2 linked regions of the Struthio camelus genome follow. The protein of the gene in region 1 interacts with the protein of each later gene in a pairwise test. Links are inferred from orthologs where the notes say so. Each region holds a gene or a part of one and is shown on either strand. Other genes may lie near its edges.

The links.
Region 2: the proteins of TNIP2 (region 1) and STK11 interact in binary tests that used the Homo sapiens proteins (3 or more experiments, as listed by UniProt). The link is inferred for Struthio camelus from reciprocal best matches to the Homo sapiens genes TNIP2 and STK11.

The regions. Positions count from the first base shown.
Region 1 is NC_090945.1:77,064,591-77,072,341, forward strand, and holds the start of TNIP2 (TNFAIP3-interacting protein 2), read left to right. Parts: upstream 1-4,744; 5' UTR 4,745-5,097; coding exon 5,098-5,574; intron 5,575-7,751. UniProt on the Homo sapiens protein: Inhibits NF-kappa-B activation by blocking the interaction of RIPK1 with its downstream effector NEMO/IKBKG.
Region 2 is NC_090967.1:7,175,400-7,182,333, forward strand, and holds the start of STK11 (serine/threonine-protein kinase STK11), read right to left. Parts: upstream 3,001-6,934; 5' UTR 2,943-3,000; intron 2,281-2,942; exon of another isoform or gene 2,236-2,280; 5' UTR 1,527-2,235; coding exon 1,237-1,526; intron 1-1,236. UniProt on the Homo sapiens protein: Tumor suppressor serine/threonine-protein kinase that controls the activity of AMP-activated protein kinase (AMPK) family members, thereby playing a role in various processes such as cell metabolism, cell polarity, apoptosis and DNA damage response.

The sequences.
Region 1 (7,751 bases):
TCTTATGTTTACATTTTTGAGTCATTCAGTAAATAGGGCTTAATCACCAAGTATATAAACTGAAAACAAGACTGAAACAGGAATGTTGCGATCCAAGCCATAACTTCAGCGCAGGGACATGGCTACGTACAAATGTCATAACAATGAGTTCATCCGATATCAGGACTCCTGAATGGCCTCAAACTAACCTCTGTATGAGTTTCCCATTCAAACTGTACAAAATGTAGTGCATTAAATTATCAGAACATCCAATTTAATACTATATGTTAAGGAAGTTTACCCTTCCCCATTTAAGAAATTATCAGAACATCCAATTTAATACTATATGTTAAGGAAGTTTACCCTTCCCCATTTAAGAACTGCAAACATGACCGCTGCAAACACGACATCACTTAAACTATGAGTCATAGAAGCATAAACTATTCGGTCAGCATCCAAATTAGACTCTGAGACTTATGAAGAGCTCTAAGTTGGACACCTTTTGTAGCTGTGGGTATTCTAAGATACATCAACTGATCTCAGTGAGAGGAAAAAAAAACTGTTAGTGATTTTTATTCCTGTTAACACTACAGAGTCAAAAGTTAAGGAAGTGTGCGCTGCTGTTGATTTTTTACCAGAGAGCAACAAGAGAATCACTTACTAATCTATAATTAGTTACACTTTGATAAATCAGCTCAAGGCAATGGAACAGTATCATTAGGTCACAATTTAGTCTCCAGGACCATTATAAATGGTGACTAGAGGAAGAGATGGGAACAGATGCAGCTTGGTTGCCTGAATAATTTCTGGAGTTCACAGCTCAAAAAAAATACAGTTTCTCACAAATCAAGCATACTACATTATCTGCAGAATGACAGAACCCCAAAATCTGTTTTACAGACTTTTTCAAGCAGAACTATACTTTTAAATACAGAGACTCACTCTTGTGTCATTTGCACTAAAATTACAGAGACATAACTACTACAGTCAATGGAATTATTCTTAATTTTCACCTATATGAAACTGAAATCAGTTCATCATATCTTTTTAATAAACCTTAAACTACAAATAACTCATTTTAACACAAATTTATAAAAAAAAATTAATGCACGCTTAATTCACTCTAGCTATATTGTTTACTTTTCCTTTTTCCTAGTCCTAAGATCAGCTTAGTATCCTTTCCGTTTCTAGCTAGTATTTAACCACTTTTGTTTCTTATACACTGTGTAACACTTCTCATGCATCATAATAGTGGTTGGTGATATGTGAAGAATTACTTAGAGCAACTTGCCAGATTTTTTTTTAACAAAATAGCAACATTCCTACATTTCTGAAAAGGCTGATTTCTTCAGCAAATCTAATTTGAGCTTAGATTTTACTTGCGTGGCTCCATCATTGTGTTACACCCTACTATGAGATAGAGTCAAAGTGAACTTCACTTTAGATTTTAAGTTGAGGCTGGTAAGGTTTGGAAAATAAAGGATTTTCATTATATGAAGTAGTGCAGAGCATACTTGTTGTTCATGCAGTTCTTTGCCAAGCAGAATTACTGTGCTTAATATCCAATAATTTCATTGCCTAAAACTGAAAAAGTACAAACATGCAACTTGGTAGACCATCTACTTTACCGGAGAATCTGATAAAAAAACCACACTGAAGGCAATCCAGGAAAAGCCAGGTACAGTAAGAAACACGTCTTAAGATCTGACTCATTCTTTGGCGCTAGCGTCTAGCTGCTGAATTCCCAAGAATTCCTCCACATTTCAGAACTGACAAAAGGAAACCGTCATCTAAGGGCATTCCCAAGAACACGCGGGATCAATTTCTTACTCAGGACTTACGCAGCTCAAATTTCCCTTAAGTCAGTGGTATTTTCCTTGGGCAAGTGCTTGCTTATCCAAAGCACTATTAATGTCAAGTTTTCAGTAATTAGATGCAATGTTTGATTTTAATAATTACAAACACACTGTATTATAAATTATTCTGTTTGATAGCTAACTAAATGCTCTGATATCTGGTCAAAGAATAGTAAGCAGGATACGGCCATCCCATCTGTAGATCCTTGGAATCTCTGAGCTTCCCAGCCATTGCTATTTGAAGCCAGATAAACTTCTCCCCAGCCAGTGCTTTATCATATATTTCTAAAAAAATTTGTTGACAGTCAGCAAAAGTGACTTTGCTGTACATTTTTCACCAAGCTCTAACTGTAGCATAACAGTACTGAAAATACTGAAAATATAAAATGAAGCCTATTTATTTTTTCACTTTTCCCACTAATGTATATGAAAACTATAAAATGCTAGTATTTTAAAGTAGGAATTATCCTTTCTTTTTTTCCTAGTAAAAATGATGCCTCAAGGTTGTAGGAACTAACTTTGTTCTACATGTAGACAGTCAAAAATTGTAATTTCCTCAACTTTTGATCATATGATTTTCCCGTGTCCTTAGTCACGGTGTATTTAGATTATTTACGAGATGAAGTAACAAACACACTGTAAACCATTATCTTGGGCAACTGTTTTATCCTTTCCTGTCACACAAGCTCTTCTACCCATAAAATTCAGCTTTGTTTTTATGAATATTTACACTAATGGAGCATTTTGAATGTATGATCTTTTGGGGAACGCCAAGACCTTTTCCAGCAGTACCGCGGTAGCAAAATGATGACTTTCTACCTTTCTGCTACTGCTGAATTCAATCACAGGACCACAGGATAATTCAAGTTGGAAGGGAATTCAGCAGGTCTCTGGTCCAAACTCATCCTCAAAGCAAGGTCAGCTATCAGATCAGGTTGCTCAGGGCTTTACACAGTTAGGACTTGAAAATCTCCAAGCATGGAGATGGCACAACCTCTGTGGGCAAGCAGTTCCAATGCTTGACTGTCCTTAATGGGGAAAGGTTTCCTTATATGCAACTGGAACCTCTTTTGTTTCACTTTGCACCTGTTATCCTTTCATGAAAGGCCAACATGTCACACCTTGCACTTTCATCTCACAATTATCACCAGGATTCTGACCCATCACTAGCAGGATTGAGCCAGTGTCATGTCTTTGCCATACAGACTCTTCTACAGTCATAACTTTTTGATTAATTTATGTTCTCAAACATTCCTCATTGTTGTGGCTTTTATTATGACAGCTGTAAGTCGTTAAGATGCTAGCACAGGGAGGCCGCTCTCTGTCATACTGATCAGAGTCTACCCTTTTTATCTCCTCTACCACTGGTAACCAACCATTTTCACTTGCTCTATAATTAGACAGGTATGCTTTTTGGTCCAGGACCTTCTTCCATGATTGTACAGAAGTCAGTACAACAAGACTGTGTTCACATGTAGAGCTCTGTGTGACTACGTCATTATAAATATTATTACAAACAATAATCAGAGCTTTATTTTCTTACCCTTTTAACCAGGGTTTTATGACTTTTTTCCTCCCTTGGTGTTCTACCAGTACATGATAATAACATGGGTACAATTAAACCAATCCAAACTACTTCATATTAGTTCAGCTTATCCCCCTGCTTGAATGAGAACTACCGTACCAAATAAGCTGAGTAACTGTATCTTTGGTTCTACTGCTATACAGCTAATAGAAAAGATATCCACCACAGGGGTGGCTAATAGGTGCTGGCTCAGTGTGAGGCAGCTAGTTTCACTTACATCAACAGCGCTCTATCTTCTTCTCATGAACACATACAACGTGTGATGAACAGGTATAGACACAAGCTGACCAAACGAATTTGTGATGACTGGAAGATGATCCACTCTCTCCAGAGTCTTTCCTCACTGGAGTGAGCTTCTCCTCAAAGGCTGCAGCACTATTTTAACACATTTTCCTCTAGATGCCTGGGTCCAAAGCTTTCCTACTGTTATTGATGCTGACCCACCAGACTTTTATCAAAGATTTCCAGACATTTCTTCACTGCTTGCACTGGCCTCAAAGCATCCTTTTGCCCCTGCCAGGCCATAGGGGAGACCCTGCTCCCATGCCTGGCTCAAGACAGACAAGCCTCGGCCACGGTTTCAACACCGAGATGCCTACACTGAAAAGCGAGTGCGCCCACATGTCCCCCCTCGCTGAGTCTCCGAGGTGGCCACTGCTCCCGAAGCCGGTTTCCAGAACTGTTAAGGGGGTAGGACCCCAAGCCCACCGCCCCCAGCTGCCGTGGCGGCCCCGCACATGGCTGCGGCTACCGGGCCGGCGGCTCCCGCCTTCCCTGCGGCCCGTACGGCAGCGGCGTCACGGCCAAGTAACGAGGAGCCCTACCGGCCGGGCGGCCCGCCGCCTCCACAGCGGGGAGGCGGGGGAGACCGTTAAACGGCCGGGAGCGGGGTGGGGTGGGGGAGGGAAGCTAACCCCCCCTTCCCACGGCGCATGCGCCTCCCTGGCCCGCCTCCGGGGCGGCTCCGCCGGGCGGAGCGGCGCCAGCCGGTGGGGGCAAGGGGTCGCGGCGGGAAGTCCCCTCCCGGCGCCAGGAAATTCCCGGAGCGGCTCCCGTTGGGACACCGCGCCGCGGGGCTTTCGCAAGGCTGGGCGAGCCCCGGCTTGGAGCCCCCTCAAAGGAGCCTCGATCGCCCCGCATCTCCTTCCGCCCCCCCCCACTCACCTCCTAACGGTCCCTCGTTCACCTCGCGCCTCCCCCCCCCCCCCCGCCCAACGGTCCCTTGTTCACTTCAGCCTTCCCTCCCCCCCCACACCCCCCGCCCAACGGCCTCCCTCGTCCACCTCCTCCCTCCGCCGTCAGCCCCCTCAGCGGTCCCCGACGGTCGCTCTCCCCCAACGGCCCCTCACTGGAGCCGGGCTCCCCGCCGCTGGCCGCCAGGTTTTAGCTGGCCGCCGCCGCGCTGCCCCTGCCCGGGGATCCCCGGCCAGCCCGCTGTCCGCGCTGGCTCCTCGCCCCGGGAAAGCTCTGCGCTGCGCTGCGGCGGGGTTCCCCCCCGTCGGCGGAGGCGGGGCTCCGCTCGGCCTGCGCGGTAGAAAAAGCGGCGGTGCTAGGGGAGCGCAGCAGGCGGGTCCTGCGAGGCCTTAAAGGAGAGCGGCCATCAGCGGCCCGGCAGGCGGAAGAGCGAAGGAACAGCGGCAGTAGCCGCGGCCCTGCCTGGCTCGTCTTTGGCTTTATATGCACCTGGCTGGATTATTGTTCGCCCCGGAGAAGAGAGAGAAGGGGCAGCAGAGTGATCGAGGCTCGCCGTCCTCGGCCATGTGCTCGGTAAGCGAGGGTAGCAGTACAGACCCCTTGGTGGCCCGGTTCAAACAGGTGGAGGAAACGCTGGAAAAGCTGCACCGGGAAAACAAGAGCCTGAAGAGTAAAGTGCCTCGGTACAACGCTCTCTGCACCCTGTACCACGAGTCGGCTCAGCAACTGAAGCACCTTCAGCTGCAGCTCGCCGTCAAGGAGGCGACGATCCGGGAGCTGAGGAGCAGCCTGGCCCGGCAGCCGCCCGCCGCGGGCGAGCCGGCCGGGGCCGGGGCCGGGGCCGGGGCCGAGCCCGCCCGCTCCCTGGTGGAAAGTCTCCTGGAGCAGCTCGGCCAGGTCAGGCAGCAGCTCAGGGACAGCGAGCAAACCTCGGCACAGAAAGTGGAGACTCTGAGCCAGGTAAACCCCACCTGCCCCCCGGAATAGCACTTGTACTTTGAGCGTCGCCTGCCTTTTCCAAAAGGTTGTGTGTACTTGCAGCAGATTGTACCTCGGGAGCTTTATTTCTGTACTTCTTCCTACAAAAATGACGAGTTTTAAGTTTAGTGTTTCCAGCACTTGTTGTCTTGAATGGAGCATCTGACTTGAAATATACTTGGTGATGACCGTGGTTATAGACATACTACATTTGAGTTTATAGAAGCACGTTTAGGTGCACAGGCACCGACACTGAAAACTTGGTTTTAAGTGACTTGCCCAAGGTGGCATAGCAAGCTGGGGGCAGAGCCTGGACAAGAAATCAAATGCTTTGAATGATCTGATGCTCCTTGATATGTTGGTGCATTTGACAGGACTTGCATTAACACTTTGTGTGCAGAGGTGGACTGTTTGCAAATCAACTCAACCCTATGTATCAAAGATTAGTTTCTACTGCATTAAGTTCAATAACATAAAAGAGCTTTTTTTTTTTTTTAAAGCAACTGTAAAATCAAAACTTAGTGTGGCATTGTAAATCATAACATAACTATTTTCCACAAGCAGAAGGAGAAAATATTCAGTAACAGCTAAATTCAGGAGTTCCATATTACCTATTTAAAAACAAAAACAAAAACCTTCCTCTTTATCAGATGTAACAGTGCTGTTCCATAAGATAAACAATTGATGCCAACACTTTTTCTATTACAGTATTTTTTTTAAAAGTTCACTTTAAAAAAAAAATGGCTTCCTTGTTTTGTCATTAAAATAGCACTGTAATGCTTGGAGAGGTAACTAGCAACTCTAGATTGTGAGGCAATAGATTGAGGGAATAGGCTATCTCTTTATGACAGAAAATAGTCTTAAAAACTGTCTCATCCCCCACAAGTACTATTTTTGGTACTATCATTAAGACTTTCCTGTGTTCAATCAGAAAGAAATGCTTTAAAATTCTTTTAAGTATTTCAATATGAAGCTGCGTAAAGGAATTTCCAAACCAAAAAGTAGTGCTTAAAATTGAAACAAGTATTTTTGTCATAAGTAAATTCTTGACCTAATGCTTATACAAAACACTTTCCACATATGACACTCACTTAAAATACATTTAAATAAGTTCAAGTTTGGAAATTTGTAATAAGTGATAATCTTACGGACACTTTGCAGACAGATAACAAACCTGTGCTAGCTAAAGACATTCTGAAAATTGACGCTGGAACTTATGTCTCTAATCTGCCCAGGAACTGTAAGCATAGCAAGGGGGAAATTTTATCATTTAGCAAGAAGTTAAAGAATTTTAACATTAGTAACAAGAGCAAGTGCTATTCCTGTAAGTTAGACTAATCATTTTATTACTTCTAGAAATGAATGTTTCATGCCAAATCAAAAAAATGAAATAACTGTCACTAAAAATAAATAAAAAAACAGTGCCAGATAATGTTCTGAAGTCAAAGGTCTGTGTGCTGGAAGAAGATTGCTTACTGTGATTTCCAGCTCCATGATCAAGGATTATGATTGCAACCCTTGAAGAACTGGAAGGGTAGGGTCAAGCTTGTATCTTGTTGTCTAGCCTGGTATCCAGGGCAACACTAATTCTAGAGGAACAGTGCTGTTACCAACTGTTACCAACTTCCTTTCTTCTTTGAGATCATGAAGGACAAGCTATTTTTGACAGACTCGGGACTGGTATACTCTAGGTGTTGCTGTGTGGCATGGTACTACAGCATGATTGTATCCTGGTTCGTAAGCAAACTTCTTCATTCTCAAAACAGCTGCAGCGACTGCAGTAAGCTATATAACTCTTTCCTAAGAGTATGTTAGACCCTCTCTTGTGTTTCGGGGACATAGTTATGGCCAGAATAGAGTTATTGCTACCACGGAGATTTCATTTTCTATTTGCTTGTCATTACCATTCATCCTTTCCTAGGCGGAAAAGTTGTTGTGTGTGCTATCTTTGGTTTGTCCTTTGCCTGGTACCATGACATGAGGAACACTTCATTGGTTTTTGATCAAATTGGAACTGAAAAGTCTTCTTTTGAGGTCTGCTATGTGGTAATTTGGAATGCAGGATCAGAAAGCATTTCTCAGCCTCTAGTCGTTTCTTTCAAACTGCTTTGTTTGCCGTAAGTTTCATCTTTAGCTTGTAGCTGCTGAATATATTTTAC
Region 2 (6,934 bases), on another chromosome or scaffold:
CATGAAAGACTTGTTGCTATTCTGTAGCTAAGCGTGTCCACTGAAGGTTAAAAGGGAAACTTAAACAGCTAGCTGACAGAAGTCCCAGTACAGGATGTGAAATATCTTGCAGCTGAGCTCGGAAACTCAAACCAAACTGAGAAACAGAAACAAGACTCTACTAGGTCAGGGCTCTACACTCAGCACACCACAGCGAAAGACGTAATACAAGAGTCTTCTAAACATCTCATAAGTTTTCCCTCCCACTATAAGATAAACTGTCACAAATAATTTGTTTTGGCTGCAGAAGGCTCCCCTTCACACCAGATAAACAACTCTATCTTGCTGGGCTGTAACAAACAGCTTGCTGTGGAAAACACAGCTGGCTGTTAGGTCCTCACATGTAGGGCACAACACCAAGAAAAGGGAAAGTTTCAGATAATAACAACTCTTACAAATGAGGCATAACACCAGGCTTCTCCCCGCAGTATATTTTAATTAGTTACTTGTGCACTGACTAATCAGTATGTAACTGGCACTTGAAATACCTTCCAAGCACAAATCTTGAGTCACTGAAAAGAAGAGCTTGACAACCCTTGTCCCCATTTTACAGCTGGAGAAATCAACTGAAAAGAGCCTTGAATTACTTCCCAAACTCATTAATTAGAAGTGAAACCAAGAATAAAACCCAAGACTTCCTATGCCCATTGGGTGCATAATACACTGGATCATGCATTCCAGGCACTTATTTCATGGGTGGTAGCAATAATTACCACCCTAAAGAGCTTAAGAACCACACACACACTTATATGGATACACAATAAGAGAGAGCAACAATACAAAGTGTATTTCTGCACTCTCAGCTATACCATCCCTCATCTTTCTTAGTTGAGTTCACTACAAACACCAGTTTTCAATGCATCTTTGACATGAAATTTTAGAAACAGAGATTCTCTCTTACTTTGTAATGAAACTAAGAAAGGGCATGTGTTATATACTCTTCTGTTCAAGGGGACAGATGCGCTTCCCATGCCCTTGAGAATAAGCTTCCTCTCACTGTTGGGCAGCATTTAGAAGCACCCTTCACCTTACAGTTGGCTGTGTTTCAACGGTAAAGAGATTCCTGAGTACATATGGTTTAGAAAGCACTTCCAGAACACAAAGCTGTCATTATTTTAAATGATAGAGAACATCAGTTGGAAAGTAACGATAAAATTTAACTCCCTGGATTCCCAGCTACTGGAAATATTTACTCACTTTTTCACATTTGCCTCCCCATTGGGAATTCTGCGTAGCTTCTTCTTCTTCAGTATTTTGACAGCTCTCCTACAGAGGGTTTCAGAGTCCAACATCTCCTTGACTTTGCCATAAGACCCTTCTCCAAGTAAGTCTCCCATTAGGTATTTGCCAATGAGCTTGGCCCTTTTCCGCCGTGGCTGGTAGATGACCTCCGTGGAGTCGATGCGATGGATAAAAGTGTCCATCCCCACAGACATCAGCTCACTCTCTGCAAACATACCCAACTGCTGTGGCTCCTGCATATCCATCCTGGATTAAGTTCCTTAACCTGTTTTCCTTAAGCGCTCAGGGTTTTAATCCTGTTTGTTAGTTTCCAACACTCCCTTTTACTCCTTCTTGAAAAAAAATATCCAGAAGATTGTACAAACATGAATAAAAAAACAAAACAAAAAATTACTATGAGCTGCTTCCAGCTCAGTTGGATGCTAAAAGATCCAGGCCTGGCTCCAGTAACACAATGTCTCTTAAAAAGAATATATCCTTGACCAGATACACTCAGTTTGGGATTTGCTTTACTTCTGACCTGGTCCCACCACTAGGGTTCCTTCAAGTCAGCTTGGCCTTTAACTTGGCCCAGTTTGATTTTTAAGTGCTAGGTCATCCTCTGGGACTTTAGGTCACCACATAAAAACAGACAACAGCCAAGTCTCTTTCATGACTTTCCATTACTAGCAGATCATAGCCACCAACTCCAAACTGTGAATCGCAGGGGAAGCGTTTCTGCCCTGCTGCCCTCACCTTCCAGGTACAAGTATAGAAGATTTTTTTTTCAGCCGTTTGGAAGCTGGAACCAAGTTTCTTTGAAGGAGTTTTCAGAATCAATTCTAATTTCTTCACTTTTCACGCCTACAAAAGTTTGAGGCCTTCGGTGCCTATCAAGATCTCCCAGGGGCATCCTTCAACCACTCGGATTCCGCCTGACACATGATGTGTCTCCACCACTGGTCCAGGTGTCAGCTGGTGTCAGACAATGCAAAACCTACTAGAGCTTTACTGACCCACCTTAAAACAGGAACAACCAGGAAGAAGTAATTCTCTCTGTCCAGTACCCAAAACACCCCATTCCCTGTCCAACAAAGGAAGGTCAATGAGGAGATGCTAACCTTGCCTGGGCTTTTCTCCCCCTCTGCAAGCCCCTTCCACAGGTGTCAGTCGGGGGGGGGGGGGGGGAAAGAGAGGAAAATGAGCAATATTGTACCCACCCCTTCAGAAAGTGGGGGAAGGGGATAAACCACTCACAGTGCAACCAAGCCACCACAGGCAGGTCGGAAGGCAGAGAGGGGACCCCGGGGGGGGGGGGGAATGACCTTTGGCTCCTGGCAGGCCGCAGCCAAGCCCCCCCCCACCACAGCAGGGCGCCTGCGGGGGGGGGCCCTCTCGGCAAGGGCCCGTCCCCTGAGGGCCGGGGGTGAGCCCCGGAGGCAGGTTCAGCTGCTCGACTGCGCGCCCCGCTGCCGCCTCTGGGGAAGGGAGGCGGGGGGGGGGGGAAGGGCTGGCGGCCGCGTCCCCCCTCCCCGCAGCCGGGCCTCGGCGGCGGCGGCGCCGCGCTCCCCCCCCCCCCCCGCGCCTCAGGGGGGCCCCGCCGGCCGCTGCCCGCTGCTCTGCCACCGCGGCCCTGCCCCGGGGCCCGCGCCCGCACTCCCGCTGCCGCCACCCCCCGTTACCACCGCCGCCGCCGCCGTAGCGCGCACGCCGCCGCCATTTTGTTTACCTCCCGCCCCCGCCCCGGCCCCGGCCCCCGGCGCGCTCCCGCCGCTGCCCTCCCCCCTCCCTCCGGGGCCTCGCGCCTCCCCGGCGAGCGACGTGCCCCCCCATTGGCCCCACCGCCGGCCCCGCCCCCCCACGCTCGCCCGCTGGTTGGCTGCGGCGGCGCCGCGGGGAGGGGGGCGGGGCCGGCCTCGCGGTTTTCGTTTCCGGTTGGCCCGTGGCGTTTCCAGCCCGCCTACCTACTCCGGCGGGTGGCGGGGCGCTGTGATAGGCCGAAGGGTCTGTCCGTCAGACGCGGGAGGGGACGGAGGGCAAAGGGCAAAGGGCGCAGGGGAAGCGGTGCCATGGCGACGGGGCGCGGGCAGCGCGGCCGGGCCCGGCGGCGCCGCGGGGCTCCCGGGCCGCCTCCGCGGAGCCTCGGGCGGCTCCTGCTGCGCTTCCCGGGCCCTCCGCCGCCTCTGCCCTGTGGTGCCAGCCCAGCCCGGGGGCTCCCCGCACCGCGCCGCCCCCGGCCCCGGCCCGGGCCTGGCTGCGAGGAGCCGGGTCGAGGGTGGAAGGGGGGAGAGCTCCTTCCCCGCGCCCCCCGGGAGCCCTTGGCGACGTGGCGCTGCCCTCTTTTAAGCGCAGCACAAACTCTCCTGCCCAGCCGCGTCTTTCCTGGGAGCCTTTTCCACCCGCTGGCCCGAACGTTTCGTGCTAAATCCGACGCGCGTTCGGCCTGTGCAGGGAATTCAGCCGCAGCAGCTCTCTGGCAGCGGGGATACCCCTTTCCCTCCTCCGGGATAACTGCTGGCCTGTCCACCGTTTCTGCCACCTCGGTCCCCTTTCTCCCTCCGTTCGTCCACACTTCACTGCCTTGTCCATCCCTCTGCTGAAGGCTCCTGACCGGACTGCTACAATCCAGAACGCTTGCGTATTTTGATTAGGATGTTTTGTCCCAACACGTGTATTTCCATGCTCCAGGATAATAACTAACGGATGGCAAATGAAATAGAACGCTGCCTTTTATCTGCGGTCCCTCAGAGGCTGCTGTGCGCAGGGGTAGCTCCAGCGGCCTCCAAGGGGAAGCCAGCTCCGGGCTGGAAGGGTTTAAATCAAGTCTGAAACAAGGTCAGCAGAGTTCACGCTCCTGCTGATCCTAAAACCTGCAGGCAATCTTTACTGCCCATCTTTACAAACACCGCAGTGTCCTTTAGCTATGTGTCCTGTTGTTTGTGCAACAGGGAGAAAGAATATCGTATTTTGAGTCCCTTGTGCTGCTTCTTAAAACACAGGTTAGCCATGGATATCTCCTGTTTTAAGAATCATCTGGCTTGACTCTTGAGGACCGGAGCAGCAAGGGATGTTCCTGCAGCAGGATCAGGTTATGGAAGATGCATTTACTGGGAAACTTACAGAAATCGTTTGTATTTTTCATGCCAGATGCTCCCTCATATACCATCCTGTCCCTTTCACCATTTTCGCACCTTAAAAATACTTATTCGCCTTACTATTTACTGTGTCTCACCAGGAGCGCCTAGAGCTCACCCCGCCGTGGGCCCCCGGGCTCTGGGAGGCGTACCGTACGCTGCGCTAGATAATCCCCAACTGACAGCTTATCTGCTAAATGGATGGGACAGACCAGCGCAGAGGCACAGACTCCTCCACTAGCACAACCAGGCGCAGAAACACGGAGCTAAAGAGTACAACTGAAGTCCTCTGAGACAGGCTCAGATGTACATCGTTTCTGGCAGATGTTTATCTAACTTTTAGAAATCTTCCCACCCTCCCCGCATATCTTACATCAGTGCTGAACCCTGTCTATCTTTAGGCTGATTTTTCCTAAGATGTAATCCAAGCCTTCTTGAGGCAATAGATTCCACAGTTCCTCTGTTTTTTTACTTTCTCTGTCATTGCTGGATGCAGTATCCCGCTCCGGCTAGTGCATTTGTACTACATGCTTTAGAAAGCTTTTTTTGACAGCTGTCCTTATTTTGTGTTTGCTGTCTGGCACTTTTTAAACAAGGTTTAGATAGCTACAGGCAGGCACACAAATTTCTCAAAATCATCCATGATCTGGATTCTCCACTAAAGTCTCCGTGTTAAATTTGTTCTTCTCTGCTCGTATTTTAGCAGGAACATCTACACCCGGGACAAGCACGGAGCCACAACCCTGCCCTCTCCTGGGCTGAGCTCACAAAACCGCCAAGCGGGTCTGTGCGGAAAGCAGCGCGGCCTGCGCTGCTCCGTGGCATCGCTGCGTTCCCGTCAGCAGAGCGGCACCCAGCAGGGACGGAGCATCTTCGGGGTCGGTTTTCAAAGGCTGCTATTTGTCTGACCTTCCTTCCAGCTGCTGCTGTTTGCTTTTGGTCAGCAGGTTACCGAAGGAGGAAGAAACTGGAGAGAATTCCCTTCTTTGACAAGCAAAATAGTTTCATTTGAATAAATTGTGATTTTCCTTATTTTATTATACATTTTGCATTAACTGATATTTTACACCCTTGCTCTGAAAGTGATTTGATTACATGGGAATCTACTTCTATTAAAAAGTGAAAATAGACTGCTAGCCCTTGTGGTCATGCACTAGAGCTTGAAAAAGCTAGAAAAATAGGAGGGCAATTACAGGAATCCCTGCTGTAGTAGTTCTGGAAAGAGTTGGACTTTCTTTAAGGCCATCTGAGGATTTGGGCACCGGCAGCATTTCCTCCTCACCCTGAGCGAGACGACCCTGGCACGGGCAGGGGCAGGATGGGGCGATGCCCTGGGCACTGCAACGCGCTAGAAGCCAGGATGGGGCCGGATGAGACCGAGCAGCTGCCAGAGCGTCCTCCAAAGGAGCGCCGCGGCTCCCCGGCAGCTCCGGGCGGGAGCTGGCACGGCAGGGAGAGGCCCTGGGAACACTGCGACTTCCCTGGTGGGGGATTCTCTAGTGTCTGATAAGGGTTGAACCTACCCTGCTGCTTTCCCCCGCCGAGGGGCGCTAGGAGAACCCCCTCCGTGGGCTCCTCCAGCCACACTGCTCGCCCGTGGCAGGGTCCCCGCGGCCGGCCTGTCCGCCCCGGCAGCCCCGTGCGTCCGCCCTGGCACGGGCCTCGTTCCAGCAGGCGGCAGTGCGAGCGTGTGGACGGAGGGATGCACGGACGGACACGGACGCTAGTCCTGGGGGGGTGTCACAGGCGAGCTCCCGGCTGGACACGGTGGTGTTTCCTAGTGGCTGGGGAGAGGGGAGACAAAAACAGTATGCCAACAGGTAAAAAGCTGCTGCAAGAGGAGAAAAACTGTTTTCCACATGCAACGCAGGGCGAGGGGTCCCGGGCTCGGGCTGCCACGAGGGAGAGGGAGGCACCGGTGGCAGCGGGGAGGCAGCCTGGAGGGGCACCGCCGGGAAACGAGGGGCGGCTGAGCTCCCCGCACAGCTCGGCCCCGGGGCAGGCAAACTCCTCCCGGGGAACGGCACGAGCAGGGGGGAGGCAGCGCCCGGCCAGGATGCCGCTGCCACCGCCTCCCCTCAGCCCAGGCTGCGCCAGGGTTTGCTCCGCGCCTGCGGCAGCCCCTCGCCACGCCGGGTCCTGCGGGAAGACGTTAGCGAGGGAACAGCCGATCGCTCGCATTGATCAGCGGTAGGTTGGCACAGTGGGAAACTGCACAGCCCGTTTCAAATGCACGCAGAGGAACCAAGATGTTTGCAGCTGCAGCTTCCTCCCAGGCCTTGCTGCACACTCATATTAGAGATTAAAAAAAGCCCTTTAGCGACACGATGGACCCAGGCTCAGCTGGGATCACGCGCTCAGGGTAGTACCTCCAGTTCAGCAGTTACTCCAAGGAGGGACCAGACAAATCCCTGAGTGCTGCCTTTTTGCAAGAGCTATTGGCACCACATGGGGCGAGGAGCGCAAGCCAGAGAGCCCCGAGCCCCCCCTCGGGGCCCGAGCGGTGCCGCAGCACGTCCTCCCAGCTAAGGGCCGCAGTG